Macaca fascicularis: one gene and its partners. The main gene of each other region encodes a partner of the protein of the gene in region 3 in a complex. Links are inferred from orthologs where the notes say so. Each region holds a gene or a part of one and is shown on either strand. Other genes may lie near its edges.

What was found. Proteins that work in one complex are often made in the same cells at the same time.
Region 1: DAB2IP (region 3) and DCP1A share a complex: the UniProt entries of both Homo sapiens proteins name them as parts of the cytoplasmic complex. The link is inferred for Macaca fascicularis from reciprocal best matches to the Homo sapiens genes DAB2IP and DCP1A.
Region 2: DAB2IP (region 3) and MAP3K5 share a complex: the UniProt entries of both Homo sapiens proteins name them as parts of the cytoplasmic complex. The link is inferred for Macaca fascicularis from reciprocal best matches to the Homo sapiens genes DAB2IP and MAP3K5.

The regions. Positions count from the first base shown.
Region 1 is NC_088376.1:116,420,241-116,426,081, forward strand, and holds part of DCP1A (mRNA-decapping enzyme 1A), read right to left. Parts: intron 5,750-5,841; coding exon 4,991-5,749; intron 3,793-4,990; coding exon 3,727-3,792; intron 751-3,726; coding exon 532-750; intron 134-531; coding exon 53-133; 3' UTR 1-52. UniProt on the Homo sapiens protein: Necessary for the degradation of mRNAs, both in normal mRNA turnover and in nonsense-mediated mRNA decay. Removes the 7-methyl guanine cap structure from mRNA molecules, yielding a 5'-phosphorylated mRNA fragment and 7m-GDP.
Region 2 is NC_088378.1:40,660,845-40,666,685, forward strand, and holds part of MAP3K5 (mitogen-activated protein kinase kinase kinase 5), read right to left. Parts: intron 4,630-5,841; coding exon 4,524-4,629; intron 1-4,523. UniProt on the Homo sapiens protein: Serine/threonine kinase which acts as an essential component of the MAP kinase signal transduction pathway. Plays an important role in the cascades of cellular responses evoked by changes in the environment.
Region 3 is NC_088389.1:36,323,140-36,329,080, forward strand, and holds the start of DAB2IP (disabled homolog 2-interacting protein), read right to left. Parts: upstream 3,524-5,941; 5' UTR 3,382-3,523; coding exon 3,258-3,381; intron 1-3,257. UniProt on the Homo sapiens protein: Functions as a scaffold protein implicated in the regulation of a large spectrum of both general and specialized signaling pathways.

The DNA of each region.
Region 1 (5,841 bases), on a different chromosome or scaffold from region 3:
GCCTATTTGTCTCTGAGGTTAGCACTCTGCCTTTAGACTTACTCTGCTCCAGTCATAGGTTGTGGTTGTCTTTGTTCTTGGTCAGCACCTGCAAGTAGACTTCATGAAGTGTACTGAGGAAGCTGGAATCATTCTAGAAGAGATGGGAAAGGTTAAGGATACGAATGCCACATTTACCTCAACAGATTTTACTTCCTTGGTAACAGCTTAGGAAAAAAAATTGTATAAATGATTTGTATAACTGATAATCCCACCATCCAGAGACAATCATGATTAATATATTGAGTTCGCGCAGATATTTCTCCACCAGGACGGTATGCTTGAAAAAAGAGAAACAGTACTCCCAGTCTGTTTTTTTTTTTTTGCCCGCCCCAGTCTCCCAAAGTGCTGGGATTACAGGTGTGAGCCACTTTGCCCGGCCTCCAGCTAGTCTTTTGAATTTACTTTATGAACTGATTCTGTAGGAGGAATGTATACAATTTCTTTTATTAAGTAATGAAAAATCAAAGATAAAATTGGTATCCTACATACCTTTATGAGATGTATTAACGTATCCTGGAGCTGAGACTTGCTGAGAATAATGGAAGGCTTTCTCTGACTTTCTGGCGTTCCAATAGTTAGAGGAGAAGGAGAGCTGGCTTTCCTCTCAAGATCTGAAGACCTTGTAACTGTCTGCTGGAAAACACTTGGGGCCAGCAGGACTGAAGACACTGCAGTAGTCGTTGCAGTAACCAGTGGGGCGCCTGCAACCTGGAGAGGAACAATGGTCATTTTGTACCAAAGTGCAGAAGCCAGTAGCCAGGCCCAGAATAAGGAGCATGTGGAAACAGGCACAAGCAGCAGAAGAGTGAAGCCCAGAGACAGACTGTTTCGGGTTCAGGTAAACATTCAGTAGGAGCATTTGAACATCTAGCATCTGGTTATAAACTTCCGTGAGCTAAGGGATGACGAGCCCATTTATATAAGAACGTCCTAGAATCGTTACGGGAAGCCAAGTCCAACTGCCACAGAAGGTAAGAGAAATAACGGTATAGAATGCACAGTAAGAAAAATCCTATGATAAATTCAAAATGTAAAGGCTTTTTGGGAGGGGAGTTGGGGAAATGACTGGAAGAGGACATGAGGGAACTTTCTGGAGTGACAGAATGTTACATATTGATTGGGTTGCCTAAGGGATAATACATACATGTGTCAAAAACTCATTTAAAAATCTGTGTTGTTTGGCTGGGCGCAGTGGCTCATGCCTGTAATACCAGCACTTTGGGAGGCCGAGGTGGGGTTCGAGACCAGCCTGGCCAACATGGTGAAACCCCATCTGTACTAAAAATACAAAAATTAGCCGGGCGTGGTGGTGCACGCCTGTAATCCCAGCTACTCGGGAGGCTGAGGCAGGAGAATCGCTTGAACCCAGGAGGTGGAGGTTGCAGTGAGCCAAGACTGCACCCATTGCACTCCAGCCTGGGTGACAGAGCAAGACTCTGTCTCCAAAAAAAGAAAAAGAAAAAAAAGAAAAAAAAAAAAATCTGCATTTTTTTTTTTTTTTTTTTTTTTTAAGGCAGGGTCTCACTCTGTCACCCAGGTGGGAGTGCAGTGGTGCAGTCACCACTCACTGCAGCTTCAATTTCCTGGGCTCAAGCAATCCTCCCCTCATTTTTGATTTTTTTGTAAGAGATGAGGTCTCACTATGTTGTCCAGGCTGGTCTTGAACTCCTGGGCTTAAGTGATCCTTCCACCTAGGCCTCCCAAAGTGCTGGGATTACAGGTGTGAACCACCATGCCTGGACTCTAAAAATCTGCATTTCAGTGTATGTAAATCATACTGCAATAAAAAAGAATTTAAAAATCCAGTTATGACTGGGAGCGGTGGCTCATGCCTGTAATCCTAGCACTTTGGGAGGCCTATGTGGGAGGATCACTTGAGGTCAGGAGTTCAAGACCAGCCTGGCCAACATGGTGAAACCCCGTCTCTACTAAAAAGACAAAAACATAGTAGAGTGTGGTGATGGGCGCCTGTAATCCCAGCTACTTGGGACGCTGAAGCAGAAGAATGGTTTGAACCCAGAAGGTGGAGGTTGCAGTGAGCTGCACTCTGGGCGGCAAAGCAAGACTCCATTTCAAAAAAAAAAAAAAAAAAAAAAAAAACAACCAAAAACAAAAACAAAAACTCCAAATCCAGTTATGTTCAATCTATTTTTTTATACCATTATAGAAAGCAATGAGAAAATTTCTTAAAAATAAAGCTAACATCTACCTCTCTCCTCCATTTAGATGTGCTTCTAGGCTAATTCCAGCTAATTATCTGAATATATTAAACCAGTAATCGCCGGGCGCGGTGGCTCAAGCCTGTAATCCCAGCACTTTGGGAGGCCGAGACAGGCGGATCACGAGGTCAAGAGATCGAGACCATCCTGGCTAACACGGTGAAACCCCGTCTCTACTAAAAAATACAAAAAAAACTAGCTGGGCGTGGTGGCGGGCACCTGTAGTCCCAGCTACTCGGGAGGCTGAGGCAGGAGAATGGCGTAAACCCGGGAGGCGGAGCTTGCAGTGAGCTGAGGCAGGGGAATGGCGTAAACCCGGGAGGCGGAGCTTGCAGTGAGCTGAGATCCGGCCACTGCACTCCAGCCTGGGAGACAGAGCGAGACTCCGTCTCACACACACAAAAAAAAACCAAAAAAACCAAAAAAACCAGTAATCATCAGTATTTTCAGTATCCTCAGATCTGATACAATCAACAGACATCTACATTTCTTTCTCTTACATGTCACTTTCTCATTTACAAAGAGCACAGAGCTGGCCAGTTTCAAGGGTATGGTTTTTGGCATCTGAACTATTTACCCTTTCTTTATTTTTGGTGCAAAAGCAGGCCGAGAGCTCCTGCAGATAGATCACCATGCAGAAGGACAAGACACACAGAAAAGAGGCTCGTTTCCAAGAACAGTCAGGAGCTGGCTCCCATTTAAACTCCAAGATATAAGACCAGTCAGAAGCTGGTTCCCATTTAAACTCCAAGACTCAAGGAGGGCACAAAGGCTCAAAGGAAAACAGAAATGACTTTAGGGAGCTAAAAAAACCTGTGTGCATTGCAAGGTTAGTGGGTGATGTAGAGTAGGGACAACAAAAAACGAAGCAAGGGAGGACAAACGGGACAGAACACACAGGCCTGGGAGGCTTTGTTCTCAGAGCAATGGGAAATGAGAGGACTGTAGCAGGATAGTGGCTCTGCCACCTGGGACATCACAGCTCCTCCAGGGCAATATTTCCTACTTATAAGCCAGGTTACCACACTCTTAGCAGTCACCTGTTCACAAATACTGAGTAAGGGCCCACCATGCCCTCTACACACACAGTCAGGGAAGATATCCATGCAGATGCCTCAAGATCCACAGAGGCCACAGTAATGGACTCTGCCAGGACGGGGGTGGGAGGTGCCTGGCCTAGGAAAGGCATCTAAGATGGGCTGGGCTCCATAGCTAACTCTTTTCACTAAGCTGACAACCTTTTACTTCACATCCAGCAGAAGAACTTAAAAATACATAATGTATCCTTTAGAAAGAGGGAGTCCTGGCTGGTCCAAAGGTAGTGAGTTAGCTCAACTGATTGTTCACAGTCAGTTACAGATCAAATTCCTTGTTCTACTCTTTCTACCTTCTCACTATAGCACCAGACTAGTCTTAAAAAAAAAAAAAAAAAAAAAAAAAAAAGAAAGAAAAAGCAAGTCCTTACCGGGATGGCACTGGATAACACCTTAGGCTGGACAAATACTTCAGGATCCTGGTTCTGCTGCATAGACTGAAACGTTTATGAAGAAAAGATAGATGGATATAAGAAGTTTCAATTAAGAAGACTTCCTAGTCTTAATTGAAGAAGACTTTCCCAGTGGAAAATCTAGGTTAGTAATAGAAAATGGTTCAGATATTAACTAGTTCCTAGATTCCCAAGGGAAGAGTGTGACAGAAACTTTCAACTATGCAGCCAACAATTCAACTGCATGAGAGCTCTGCGACAGCCTCTCTTCTTTAGTTCCGGAGAGAAGGGGTGTGTGCAGAGCCTTTCAGGTATCTTTAAAGAAAAGCCCGAGACCTGTATCCCTTCTAAGAGCCAGAGACAGCCCAGGAATATACATAATTTTTAATTTTTGTGGGTACATAGGTGTACATATTTATGAGGTATATGAAATGTTTTAATATAGGCATGCAATACATAATAATCACATCATGGAAAATGGGGTATCCATCCCCTCACAAATTTTTCCTTTGTGTTACAATCTAATTATACTCTTCATTATTTTAAAATATATACTTAAATTATTGACTATAATCACCCTGTTGTGTTATTAAATACTAGGTCTTATTCATTCTATTTTTTTTTTATGCATTCACCATCCCCACCTCCCCCTACCTTCCTAGCCTCTGGTAACCATCCTTCTATTCTCTATCTCCATGAGTTCAAATAAAGTGAGAACATGTGATGTCTGTCCTGCAGCCTGGGCATATTTTTGCTGTTGAGTCTGTAGAGATAGAGATGAGAGATCTAGGCAGCATGGCACCTCTTGATAAGGTGATGTAAATGTGGACAGTTGAAAAAAATCAGCTTTATTTGACCTCATACCTTCAAGTCTAGGATGCTCTTATGGCACCTCTAGGGTACTTGGCACAAGGCAGGCACTCTAGGAGAGTGCTGTGGGAGATAGGAAGGGAGTTAAGCTTTGGAATAATTTGGTCCTGAGTCAAATGAGGACTCCTGGAAATGCTGGGCAAAAGCAAAACAAACATACAACCTCTGCTAAAGTGCATATCCAGATAGGAAAATAAATTACTTGGTTGTTCATGATAGGGCTTCTTACCTCAGCTGTCTCCTAGCCCGACATACTTTAAAGGGACAACTCTTCAAAACTGTCAGTGTCATGACAGTTAAAACCAAGGTCTGTAGTTTCATCCCATCCAGTTATAGTTACCCACTATGCCCACCCCCACCCTCCTGCCATTACCTGAAGGGGAGCAAGCACCATGTTGCTCAGGGAGGCTGAGGCTGCTGCTCTCGCTGCTGCTGTCTTAGAGGAAGGCTCTATGAAGCTCTCAGGTGTGGCCAGCTGACCAGCTGCCGGAGAAAAGCTGGCTACCATTGCACCTTTCCCAAGTGGTTGTGTCTGTATTTGGTCATGCTGTGGGGTCAACCTGAGTTTCTGGAGAAGATCAACGCTTGGGAGGGATGTGCCAGCTGTGTTTGCCACGTTCAGTGGGGCCCGGAAGGGGCTCTGGCTGGCAATCAGACCGGCATGGCTTAGCTCAGGGACTGGCTGATTCAGGAGTGGAGACCTCTGTCTAGGCGTGGTCTTCACTGCCTGCATCATGGTGCTGTTTCGAGGTAAGCTGGGGGGAACCTGTGTAGTAGGAGCTTCAGATGGCAGAGTGGGACTGAGAACGGGACTCAACGGGATTGTGTAGGTTGGGGCATGCTTTTCATTGGACTGTGTGATGGAGGCTGGAGTGATTAGCACCGGGGTGGTGATTTCAGGCTGGACTGAGTGGTGGGCAGCAGAAGGGACACCCAGGGTTTCTGATTGAGGGGCTCCTCCTGACTGCTCAAAGGGAAATGGTAGGAATGAATTGGGCTCTTTCTGGGAGGCATCTCCTGGCAATCTCTCCACTTCTTCTGAATCCAGACTCACAACTGCTGGCTGTTCCTTTGGCAAAGAGGTTCCAAATAACTCTTCTACCGTCAGATGCTTGTGTCCAGATGGAGCAGACTGAAAAACAAATGAAACCACCCAGTGAAAGAGGTCTCTTATAAAACAGCATAACCAAACTTCTTTTCCAGAAGTCAAAGATTGTACAGAAT
Region 2 (5,841 bases), on a different chromosome or scaffold from region 3:
TGCATCGTTTATAGGTGAAAACAATTATGTAAAATTCCTGCAAACTGTTCCTCCAAAAACCACTATCATAGGCGAGAAATGGACTGTTGTTTACAAAAATAAAAGTGTATCATTTTCGTTACGTATTGCCATCTTTCTAGGTTTATCCCACAGAGCTTATCACTGCATAGCAGTAGTTCACGTTCACGTACAACTGCACATGTCTGCTCTCAGAAAGCCTTTCACCTGGCCAAGGACAAGGCAACCATGCTCCCCAAACACTCGCCCACCCTTACTACAAAATTGGTATGATTTCTCTTCATTTGTAGCTTTTCCCCAAGTGATAAATTTATGATTTAAATAAGCTCAAATAGTCTTTTAGAAAATGCGTTGAAGTCTACCACCCCCTTTTGTTGTATCGGGGCCTAGAGTAGAATTAATGAGAGAATTTAAGTGGCATTAATAGCTAAGTAGGAATTATAGCAGACCAAAATTTGGAAATTTTTAATTTTTAAACATCGTAAATTGCACAATTCAAATAATGTCAACAACAAATTATGCAATATTTGATTCATCAGATAACATTTCAAAGAGCTCCATCTGCCAATTGTGTTTAATTATCCCCCACTGAGCAAGTGCCAGAAAAACAGGTTGAGTCATGTGTTCTTATCTGCTCCTCTTTTTACTTCACAAACACATGACACATAGTATTTTAAACAAAGCAATTTACGAAGCTGGATAATGAAGATGAGAGCCAACCTGAACATTGGAGGAAAATCAATGAATTTGCTCTAAAACTCATACCTCATGTATCTGCATTCTAAAGTTTTTTTTAAAAATTGCTTTGAATTACCTATTGTAGAATTTCTTTGCTGCTGCAACTACCCAGGGAGGTGGCACAGCTTAGTAGTTAATTAAACTCTAACGTCACATTTCATTCATTCATTCATTCATTCATTCATTCATTCATTCATTCATTCAACAGATCTACATTGAGGGCCTACGATGGGCCAGGCACTGTTCTAGGCACTTAGAATACAGCAGTGGAGAAGACAGACAGAAATACCTGGACTTATGTTTTTGCAGTAGAAGCCAGATGATAAACTATCAGCACAGTAAGTAAATTACACAGCATGTTAGAAAGTGATATATTATGACCAAAAAAATATAGACCTGAGTGAAGAGGATCAGCAGGAAGGCCGCCATGGTCAATAGGGTGTTCATGGTTGGTCTCACTGCAGAGGGGACATCTGCATTGAGACTGGAAGAAGGTAAGAAAGTTACCCGTGCAGACAGCTGGGGTAAGTGTGGTAGCGGCAGGAGGAAAAGCCCATGCAAAGGCTCTGTGGCAGGGCCCTGCCTGCTGTCATAGAGGAAATGCAGGAAGGTCCACGTTTCTGGCACAGAGTAAACAACAGAAGAAGAGTAGGAAATGAGGTCTGAAAGGGTACAGACTCCGAATCAGGTCAGAGCCTTGTCCCCAACTATAAGGGTTTTGATATTTGTTTACATAAAAAAAAAAAAAAAGAAAGCCACCGAGGGCTCTGAACAATAGGACCCCGTTTGTTTCAGAGGGATCACTTTTGCTGCAGTGCTGAGAGTAGACAGTAGGGGGCAAAAGTGAAGCAGGAGCACAGCTGGGGAAGCCACGGAAAATGCAGGTGTGCGATGAGAGTGGCAGCGGCAGAGGCGTGAGAACCGGTCCAATGTTGGTCATGTTTTGAAGACAGAGCCAATAGGCTTCCTGGATGGACTGGGATGGAGTGTGAGAAAAGAGAAGCGCCCTGGATAACACTATGTCGGGAGTGGCTGCCAATTGAGACAGAAGAGTGTGCCGGGGACAGGTTTGGGAGAAGATAATTAATTCCTTTTGGCCTGTTAAGTCTCGCTTGAGTCTCAGCTCTATTACTAACTAGCTTTGTGACCTCGGGCAAGTTATTCAACCTCTTTGAACCTTCATTTTCTCACCACAAACTAGGATAATGATACCTAATGATTAAGGCTGATGTATGAATTTCAATAAAATGTATGTAAAGCACTTAGTGCGAGCTAGGTATACAGTAAGCACTCCATAAATGGTGATTACTGCTGCATTTTCCCTCATCAAAATCACCAAGAGGTTATACAGACCAATTTATTGACTGAGTACCTGGGACTAAGCTCCTGGGACTTGATGACCACCAAGTTCATGTTTGAAGCCTACGATGTACAGGGCCCTCGGGACCAGTGCTGGGGACAGATCTATGCATGTTAGTGACGCACGTCACTCTTACGTGACACCAGTGGAAGAGGTCCACGCAAAGGGCTCTGTGAGGACTGCTTTCCTACAATTCCTTTGGAGATTTCACAAAAAAGATATTCCCCAGATTAGTAGCACAAGATATTGCGTTAACATCCTGTCCCACAAAGCGTGTGAAAGGAGGGATTTTCCTCTCAGAAGTTACTGAGTCTTGACAGCACAGAAACTGCCACTTGCCAAGTTCAGAGTATGAGGAAAGAAATGTAAAGACATTTGAAGTTATTAATAGGTCAGCACTTAGTTTTTTCAAAAAAATATATTCAAAATGTGTTAATTCTGTACCCTAAAATATCCATCGCCTTGAGGCAGGACCTGGGTCAGGGGTATTGCTGACTGAATGCTCTGGGGAAAAAACTTGACACAGAACGTCTCTCTCTCCTACAGGAAGGCAGAGAGAAAGATGGACTAGAGCCAGAAGGCAAAAGCAAAGAGCAAACAGTAGATACAAAATCTGAGTTCTGGCTAGGCGTGGGGGCTCACACATGTAATCCCAGCACTTCGGGAGTCCACGGCAGGTGGATCACTTGAGGTCAGGAGTTTGAGACCAGCCTGGGCAACATGGTGAAACCTTGTCTCTACCAAAAAAAACCCACAAAAAATTAGCCAGGCATGGAGGTGCGTGCCTATGGTCCCAGCTACTAGGGAGGCTGAGGTAGGAGAATCACTTAAATCTAGGGTGGGAGAGGTCACAGTGAGCAGAGATTACACTACCATACCTCAGCCTGGGTTACAGAGCGAGACCCCATCTCAAAAGAAAAAACAAGAACAAAAAAACTGGGTTTTGCCAGGCATGACATCCTAGATACCTAGGAGCCTGCAGTGGGTGGACTGCTTAAACCCAGGAGTTCAAGACCAGCCTGGGCAACATAGCAAGACCCAGTCTCAAAAAAACAAAAACAAAAACAAAAAACCAATCTGAGTTCTATCCGGTAAACACTGCTGTGACTTCTGACTGCAATGTCACTTCTCTCCCAGGAAATTTTCTCGTCTGCAAAATGGAGGTACTCCCACCTACCTCACAGAATTGAAATGGGGCCATGTTGCTTCATAGTAGACCAAAGATTATTCATGATCTTTTTCTCTTCCCTTCCCCTCCTCTTTTTTTTTTTTTTTTTTTTTTTTTTTGTGGGGAGGGTCCTAAATTTCTCTCTATAAGAAGAAGAACTTAACACTTCATGAGAATCAGCATGATGGAGTGATAAGAACTAAGGGTGGAGATCAGGTTTGAAATCTTACACACCCTCCCTAGAACTATTGGGCAGTCATGAATCTCTTGAGTCTGAGCTTCCTCTTGGCTACTGTTACCTTTTTGGAAATCACTTGGTCTCCACCCTCCCAGTACTTTGCACCAAAGGCAGCTCAGTGGCTGCACTGCCTAACTTCTCAGGAAAGCTCTCTCCCTCCCTTCTTCTGCTGAGTCGGTGAGTCATTTCCTCTTTCTGAATTGAAATCCTAGGTTATTTATATTGTGGAGTAGGGGAGTCAACCACAGAGAGTAAACAGTAAAAGAGAGAATTTATCGTCCAAATGGGAAGTGATTAGGGTATGAGTAAGAATCACAGAGAGGTTGGGCCAAGGAAATGTTTAATAATAATAATAAAAAAATCTTGCTAGAGTTATTGTAGGCCAACCAGGAAAGAAGTAATTACATTAAAAGAAAAACAAATAACAAGTTGAAAATTAAAAAAAAAAAAAAAAAAATCTTCAGTGGCAGTAAGCAGGAGACTAACTAAGCAAGTCATATACATACAGGAAGAGAAAAGGGCCAAATCAAATTCTGTAACACATAACAACATTGGCCAGGCGCGGTGGCTCACACCTGTAATCCCAACACTTTTGGAGGCCACAGGTGTGTTACTTGAGCCCAGGAGTTTGAGACCAGCCTGGCCAACATGGTGAAACCTTGTCTCCATCAAAAATACAAAAAAATTAGCTGGGCATGGTGGCGCACGCCTGTAGTCCCAGCTACTCAGGAGGCTGAGGTGGGAGGATTGCTTGAGCCTGGGAGTTTAAGGCTACAGTGATAGGTGATAACACTCCTGCATTCCAGCCTAGGTGACAGGGCAAGACCCTGTCTCAAAAAAAAAAAAAAAAAAAAAGAAAAGAAAGAAAGAAAGAAAAGAGAAAAGATATCAACATTACTGTGTGTGCGAACACCAGCTGAATTTCTCTCTCACATTATGCTCAAACTCAGCAATTATTTCTTTAATTACATAAGATCTGTATCATCATTGCAAAAACATACCAGTAAAAGTTTCAGTACAGGGGTTTATGCCAGCAAGCCTCTTTGATGTCCCGAAGTCAGAGATCTTGAGAACACCACTGTAGGTATTAATCAACACATTGTCACCCTAGAGAACAGAGGACTTTAATCACAAATGTTATCTTTCTTCAGATACTGTCTATTGTTGACTTGGTAAGTCCAATTAAAAAAAAAAAAAAAAAAAAAAAGGTGTCCTTACAGCAACCAACAACATAATTCTGTATTCTTCATTAATAGTTTATCTCAATAGTGAATTCTTGACACTGTTTTTTGTTTACATATTATCAGTTTGAGACCAACTGCCTTTGCAAAAATTGTAACAGTGAGAAAATTATGACAGTAAAAGAGAACTGATCTAACCACCACCATCTTGCCTTAAATTTCCAAACTGCCCTTGGTCATTCCAGGGTGTAGACCAAGCTCACTTGGAGAAATTTAATTTATAATTTATAGTTTAGATGATAATAGCCCTTCCCCAAAACTAAACCATCTTTGTAAAACTAATGAAAGGCCACCAGGTTAACAGGATGAGAGGGGCCTAAAGTCCACTAAGATGTAGGCATAGCCAAATGATTATCAGCCCACTATTCTGGGGGGTCACAAGATTTGCAACTCCTCCAATTGTTCCTATAATTGACATCACTATTATAGAACCAAAGACTGGCCTTTTGAAATGTCTTTACAGGCTTCTCCATTTCTGACTATCAGATGGCATCACCCAGACCTGTGACTCTGGACTCAGCCAGTCCTGTAGCCCCCACCCAGAACTGGACTCAACACATAAGAACTATTTTCCACACCTGTATAATTGCATCCCCAACCACCCAGACCCTAGCCCCCTGCTCACCAAACTATCTCTGGAAAACCTTAGCCTCTAAATTTTTGGAGCGGCTGATTTGAATAATTATAAAATCCAATATCTTGTTTGGCCATCTCTATGTGTATTAAACTCTCAGTTGCAATTCTTACATCTTGAGAAATCAGCTCTATCTGGTCAGTGGGCAACAGGAACTCATTGGGCGGTTGTAAGTTCTTCATAATCTGCTACTCAGATCACAAGATCAAATATGATTCCTAACTGGTTAGAGCTTGTTGCTATTTACAGAGATATAATGATGTATGTATAATTAAATTATGATTTTCATAACTTTCCAGTTACTTTATTTTCTTTTCTATGTTTCTTTACTTCTTTTCCTGGAATATGTAGAGGCATGATAGATAAATGGGCATTTTGGTTGATTTTTAGGGTAGTAATATTAACTTATTTTCAATAGTCCACACTTTGTAAAAAATGTATTAG
Region 3 (5,941 bases):
GACAAAACTTTTCTTGGTGTGACTAGGTGGGGAGGCACCTTGCTTATGACACCCTTTGGGGGACAGGATCCCCCCAAATCCATAGGGCATGCCCAGCCTTCAGGTGGAGTCAGGGATACAGTGGGAAATGGCAAACGGCCCTCGCCCTCTGAAGGTCAGTGTTTCTAACCCACTTCCAGATACCCTCCAGCTTCGTGCTCTACCCCCTACCACAGCAGGTCTCACTCTGCCTGTTCTTCAGACGGGGAAACGGAAGCCCAGAAAAGGGTAGAGCCTAAGCCCCTTATTGGGTCAAACTAGGGAGACTGCAGACACTGTCCCTCACTCACAGCCCTACCAGGGACAAAGCCCTGGTCCCTTCCCCCAACCTGGCCAGTTGCAGAACCTGGCAGCTACCAACTCTTCCTTGCACTTTTCTGTTTCTGAACAAATACGCAGCCTGAGTTCTTGGTCATTTTCCTTCCATACTAGTGCCAGAGGCCAGAAAGGGTGTGGGGGCAAGAGTCTGATCCAAGCTGAGATGCTAGGCACCACCCATTCCTCTGAGGTCTGATGCTACCATACGATGGGACCAAGTCCCCAGATGGATAGGGAGACTGAAGTTCAAGGTCAGAAGGGACTGGCTCAAAGGCCACGGGGTAGCTTCCTCAGCCTGAGTTTCTCCCTGGGTGGGGCCCTGCCCTCAGCAGGTGGTTGTGGCTCTGGGGCAGAGTCAGGTGTCTGAGGCTTTAGTGGAGAGAGGGCAATGGCTGCCCCAGCTGCCTCCCACCAAGGAGGACAGGGTGCCTCCAGCCTCCACCCCACACCCTGGCTGCAGCTCTAACTCACTCCTCATCACTCAATGCCTTTTTTAAAAAAAAACAAAAACAAAAACAAAAATATTGAGACCGGGTCTTGCTATGTTGCCCAGCCTGGTCTTGAACTCCTGCGCTCAGGGATTCCTCCTGCCTTGGCCTCCCAAAGTTCAAAGCCCTTTATCAAATCCAAACTACTGTTGCCTGCCCTTCCCCACCCACCGACCCAGCCCCTTTCCCAATCCACCCTCCTCCCCAACCCCAGTAGGAACTCTATCCTCAACACCCAAGTCGTTTTCCTTCTCCCTGACTGCACAGTCTGTTCATTCTGTCCAGAGAGAGGACAGTAGCTCACCCTCAGCTTCAGCCTTAGTCCCGGGCACTGGCTTCTGGCCCTCACATGACCCTGTCACTGCTAGCCCCACTGACAACACGACGTCACTGAGGCTTGGAGAGGTAACTGGCTGAAGAATAGTTGTGTGCACAGCTGAGGCTTGAACTCAGATCTGACTCAATGACTCCCTCTGCCAAGGGAAATCCTATCCATTTTGTGAGATCCCATCCAAATGTCACCTCCTCTGTGAAGCTCTCCCTGGTTTCCCCAGATATAACTTCTGTTCAGAGACAGTCTCCTCCCCATTCTCTGCAGGCTGTGAGCTCCTTTAAGGCGGGGACACAAAGCAGTGATCCTGTGCATGTGGGGTCTGGGAGCTGGGGCTCAGGTGACAGCCCCTGACACATTGATTATCCCCTGCCCGGTCAGCTGAGCAGGAGTGGGACTCCTGTTACAGTCAGGGATGGAACTGGGCTGAGCTGAGAAGAGGGAAAGGTCATGCAGGGCATTTCTGAGGCAAGGGGGGGCGGGCGGAGGGGGTGAGGTGACGTGAGGTGGGTGCAGAAGGAGAGGCCCCAGGGTGGTCTAAACAGTACTGGGCATTTTCACAGCTCCCATTTCTCAGTTTCTTCACTGAATCCTCCGCATATGGCAGGTCCATTTCACAACCAGGAAAACTAAGCTCAGAAAGGGGTGAAATGACTTGCCCAAAGTCACAAAGCTTGAGCTCAGATTCCCAGTCTCCCAGACCAAGTCCAGGGGGAGGTAGTAAGTACAGAATTGATAGTACAAGCCTTTCCCCAGGTCTTAGAAAGTACAGAATTAAATTGAAGGACAGAGATAGAAGGACAGAGATAGAAGAATCAAAACCTGAACCTCTGAGACAAAGCCTTTCCCCAGGTCTTTAGTACTCCCTCCAGGGGGAGGGAGTACTAAAGGCTTAGTACTGTTAATTCTGTACTTACTAAGACTTCAGGAAAGGCAGGAGCTGGGGGATCACAGGCTTTGAGAGACCCTTGAGGACTGAACTACCAGCACACACCTGTGCATACCCTTAACCTCAGCTTGAACCCTTCTGCGCACGGGGAAGTCACCACTTTCTGAGGAAGCCCTGGACTGCTGCTCAGTCCTGACTGTGGGAATGGGGAAGCAAATGAACACTGCCTGCCTGCTTCATTTACCCTCACACTGACAAGAAAACTGAAGTTCAGAGGCAGCTCAGCCCAGGTCACACATCGGCAGCGTGCAGGGTGGGAATGCGGCCCCTGCATGGCATTTGTTGGCACAGGGCCCGGCTTCCCACTTTCAAGATGACCTGATGGTGTCAACTCGGCCCAGGTCCCGGCTAAGGCGCCGTCTTTCTCCTCCCTTCCACCCCACGGGCACCCTCGGTGGGCCTGAACCTCTGCCCAGGACTCCAGCCTCCCCAGAGCCCCTTTGAAGGCCTCCTCCTCCCAGGGGGCTTCCCTCCCTCCCACTCCGCCAGGGAAGGAAGTCCCGGCCCCCACCCGCCCAAACGCAGCCCCCTGGATCACACGCATTTCCAGCCGAGGATCCTGTTACTGGAAAAAGAAAATGCTGCTCGCACCTCCCCCTCCGTCTCGTCCTGCCTCATGAGCTTGATGGAGAGAAACTTTGCAAAGGAGTTGGCGCCCACCCGCTCGAGGGGTCCCGGTTCCTTCCCTGAGGTCCACCCACTTGTCCAAGCACCCAAGAGTGGGGAGCCCCTTAAGTTCCTGGAAATGGAAGAAAGAAGTCCGCGGCCAGGGCTGGGAAGGCAAGGTGTGGGAAAGCCAAGATCCACCCTAGGTTACTTTATTGCCCGGCTGCTGAGTCAACTGAGGCACAGTGGGGTAGGAGGTCTGATCTGAGGTGCGGAGAAAGATTCCAGGCTCCCCTCTCCCTGCCCGTGGCTTAAAAGAAGACCCTAGAGCCTCAGGTTCCCCCGGAGAGAGGAGGACTAGGCAGAAGCGGGAGGAGTGGGGGGTCCGGAGACTCAGGAAGGGGCGGATGAGAAAAACCCCCGGCAAATGGCTGGAAGGAGGATGCCGGTCCCTAGCATCCCAGGGCATCAGGTGGCTTAGTGGCCTTGGGAGGGTCTAGGGGTCAGGGGTCGGGGTGGCGCCTACCCCTGGCAGGCCGGGTCCGGCTGCGGGAGCGGCTCCTCTGTCGCTGCAGCCGGGGCCGCCTCAGCAGCCGGTAGTAGTAGGAGGACCTCCCGGTGCTCTTCCTGGCGCTGCCGCCCGCGGACATGCTGCCGCCCGCCGGGCACCGGGCCGGGCCTGGGCGCGCTCACACGGGCCCCATCGGCCACTCCGGACCGCCCGGCGGGCGCCCCCGCGTTCTCCCGCGCTCGCCCGAGCGGCCGCCAAGGCCCAGGCTGCCCCACAAAGTCGCTCAAACTCCTCCTCCGCCTCCTGCCCACTCCCGCTCCTAGAGCAGCCGGCCCCGCGGCGGGGGCTGGGGACCGGGAGGCTGGGCTGGCACCGGCCCGGAAAGTCAGTGCGGGAGAAATCCCGGCCTGGAGTTAGCGGGACGAGGCGGCCCGGAGTTTCCCCGGGACCCCAGATGGGTCCCCCCGAGGGTCCTGGCTCCTACCCCCGCGCCCGAGGGTTCGACCGTCGACCTGAGGGCGCACCAGGCACCCAATCCCGCCAGCGCGGGTAGACGGTGCACACCTGCTTGTGCGCCCTCCGGAGCCCAGGGCAGGATGGCACGCGTGGGGACCGTCACCTTCAATTAGTGTGCGTTCCTGCCCCAGGCTCGCTGGGCTGAGAAAGGACCCTGACTGCTCCGCAGGCCCGGGCCCAGCCAGGTTGAAAGACTTCCCTGTGATGCAGGATACTTGCCTCTTCTTTACATTTTAAAGGTTGTCCCGTCTGATACACATGTCATTTTTATATAATTAAAATTATGGTGTGTGTTTCAAGCACTCAAAGCACTGAAGGCGGGGCAGAATAATCCCTACCCTACTATAGGGACCAGAAACTCAGGGTGGCATAAGGAAAGGTGCCAACTCCCTCTATTGGATTGGCTGAAAAGCTTTCTCCAAGTCACTCCTCAGCTGAAGAACCTTCCATGGCTCCCCAGAGCACAATGGCAATACGTCTAAACATCCTTCCTTGTTATTTGGACCCCAAATAATCTTGCCCCAACCAAAGTCCCTTCCAGCCTCACCTCCGCTCTCCCTAATTCTCACTTCTCTTTGCTGTGCTGCCAGCAGGGACTGCCTTCTTGGCTATTTTCTCCACCTGATCAAAGTCCACCCTTTCAGGGCCCAGCTCCTCCACCCTTCCCTGACCATGGCCCACAGTGATCTCTCCCTCTCCCCGCCCCTTATGCCTTTAGCAACATTCGTCGTTTAAATTATTAAGACACCTGCCTGAGCTGCACCCTTTGAAGTACAGAGGGGGAAACTGAGGCCTTGGCAAGGAGGTCTTGCCTCAGCCACATGGAAAGTGGCAGAGGCAAGTGGTCTTAGCCTGGGGCTCTCAACATTCAAACTTAGGGGTGGGGGGTGAGTGTGAGTCACCGCAGGTGCTTGAGGCCGTCTTGGGGGTCTTCTTCCAGAACAGTGGGAGAAAGGTGGGTCCCTGGAGGGCGCCGGGCCGTCTGGGCAGAAATCCAGGCCGGGTTTTGCACGTCACAGAGGAAGCCCCCTCCCTAGCTCTCTCAGCCAGCGGGGAGGGCCCCTAGTCCGGAGGAGCCCGTCTCACAGCTGGAAGCCAGGCGCCTTCCCTGACCAGGGGGGAGGGGCAGGAGGGGTGTTACTCCACCAAATCCAGTCTGGGAAGTCCGGAGCCGTCAGCTGCCCTGGTCCCCTCTTCCAATCCCACGGGGAAGATGGAAAACCAGGGTGCCCAAGAGGACACCCTTAGCTTCCTTCAGGTTAGGCCAGGGGTGCCCAATCTTTTGGCTTCCCTGGGCCACATTGGAAGAAGAATTGTCAGGCCACATATAAAATACACTCACACTAACCACAGCTGATGATAAAACAAAAACAAAAACAAAAAAACCTCATAATGTTTTAAGAACATGTATGAATCTGTGTTGGGCAGCACTGAAAGCCATCTTGGGCCACATGCAGCCTGTAGAGGTTGCAGGTTGGATAAGCTTGGAGGCATTGCCCTATCTCCTTTCCACAGCAGACATGGTGCAGGAACGTCTTTAAAAAGAAGCCCATGGACAGAGCCCACACGCAGTCACTCAGTCCCCAGGCAAGCTGGGGGGACCTTCTTAGCATGCATCCTCCTCTGGCCAAACCACCAGAACCCAGTTCAGCGCCTCCTCACACAGGTGGGGCTCCGAGCGCCACCTGTCCACACCGTGGCACTTCCAGGGATGACTAACCTCCACAGCCAGGTCCACGGGTTCTGGGGGTGAGGGACTCCCACCCAGGAAGTCCTGCTTAGGGCCGGGGCAACGCTCCTGCTCCCAGGGCCTGAGTTCATCTGGCCCATTTTGTTTCCCAAAGCAGGAACCCTCTGATCAGCCAGGTACTAGTCCCCCCTGGAGGGGACGGGAGGCTCACAGTCAACTCACTGTTATCAGTGGTGTGGGCAAGTGGTCTTGGCCTGGGCCCTCAGATGTCTGAGGAGTATGTGTGGAGGGGAGAGGGAGCAGTGACTTGGAACTCAGGACCTCATCTGTAAACACAGTTGGGCTCCAAAGGTCTGGCATGGTCTCCCCGTTTCAGCTTTTCAAGTTCTTCTCTGTGCCTTAGTTTCCCTACCTACAGGGAGAAGCTATGGACCCCCAATCCATCTGCCTTGTGGAGGAAGGAGGGTCAGCTAGTGAAATGGAGGAAGCTTGT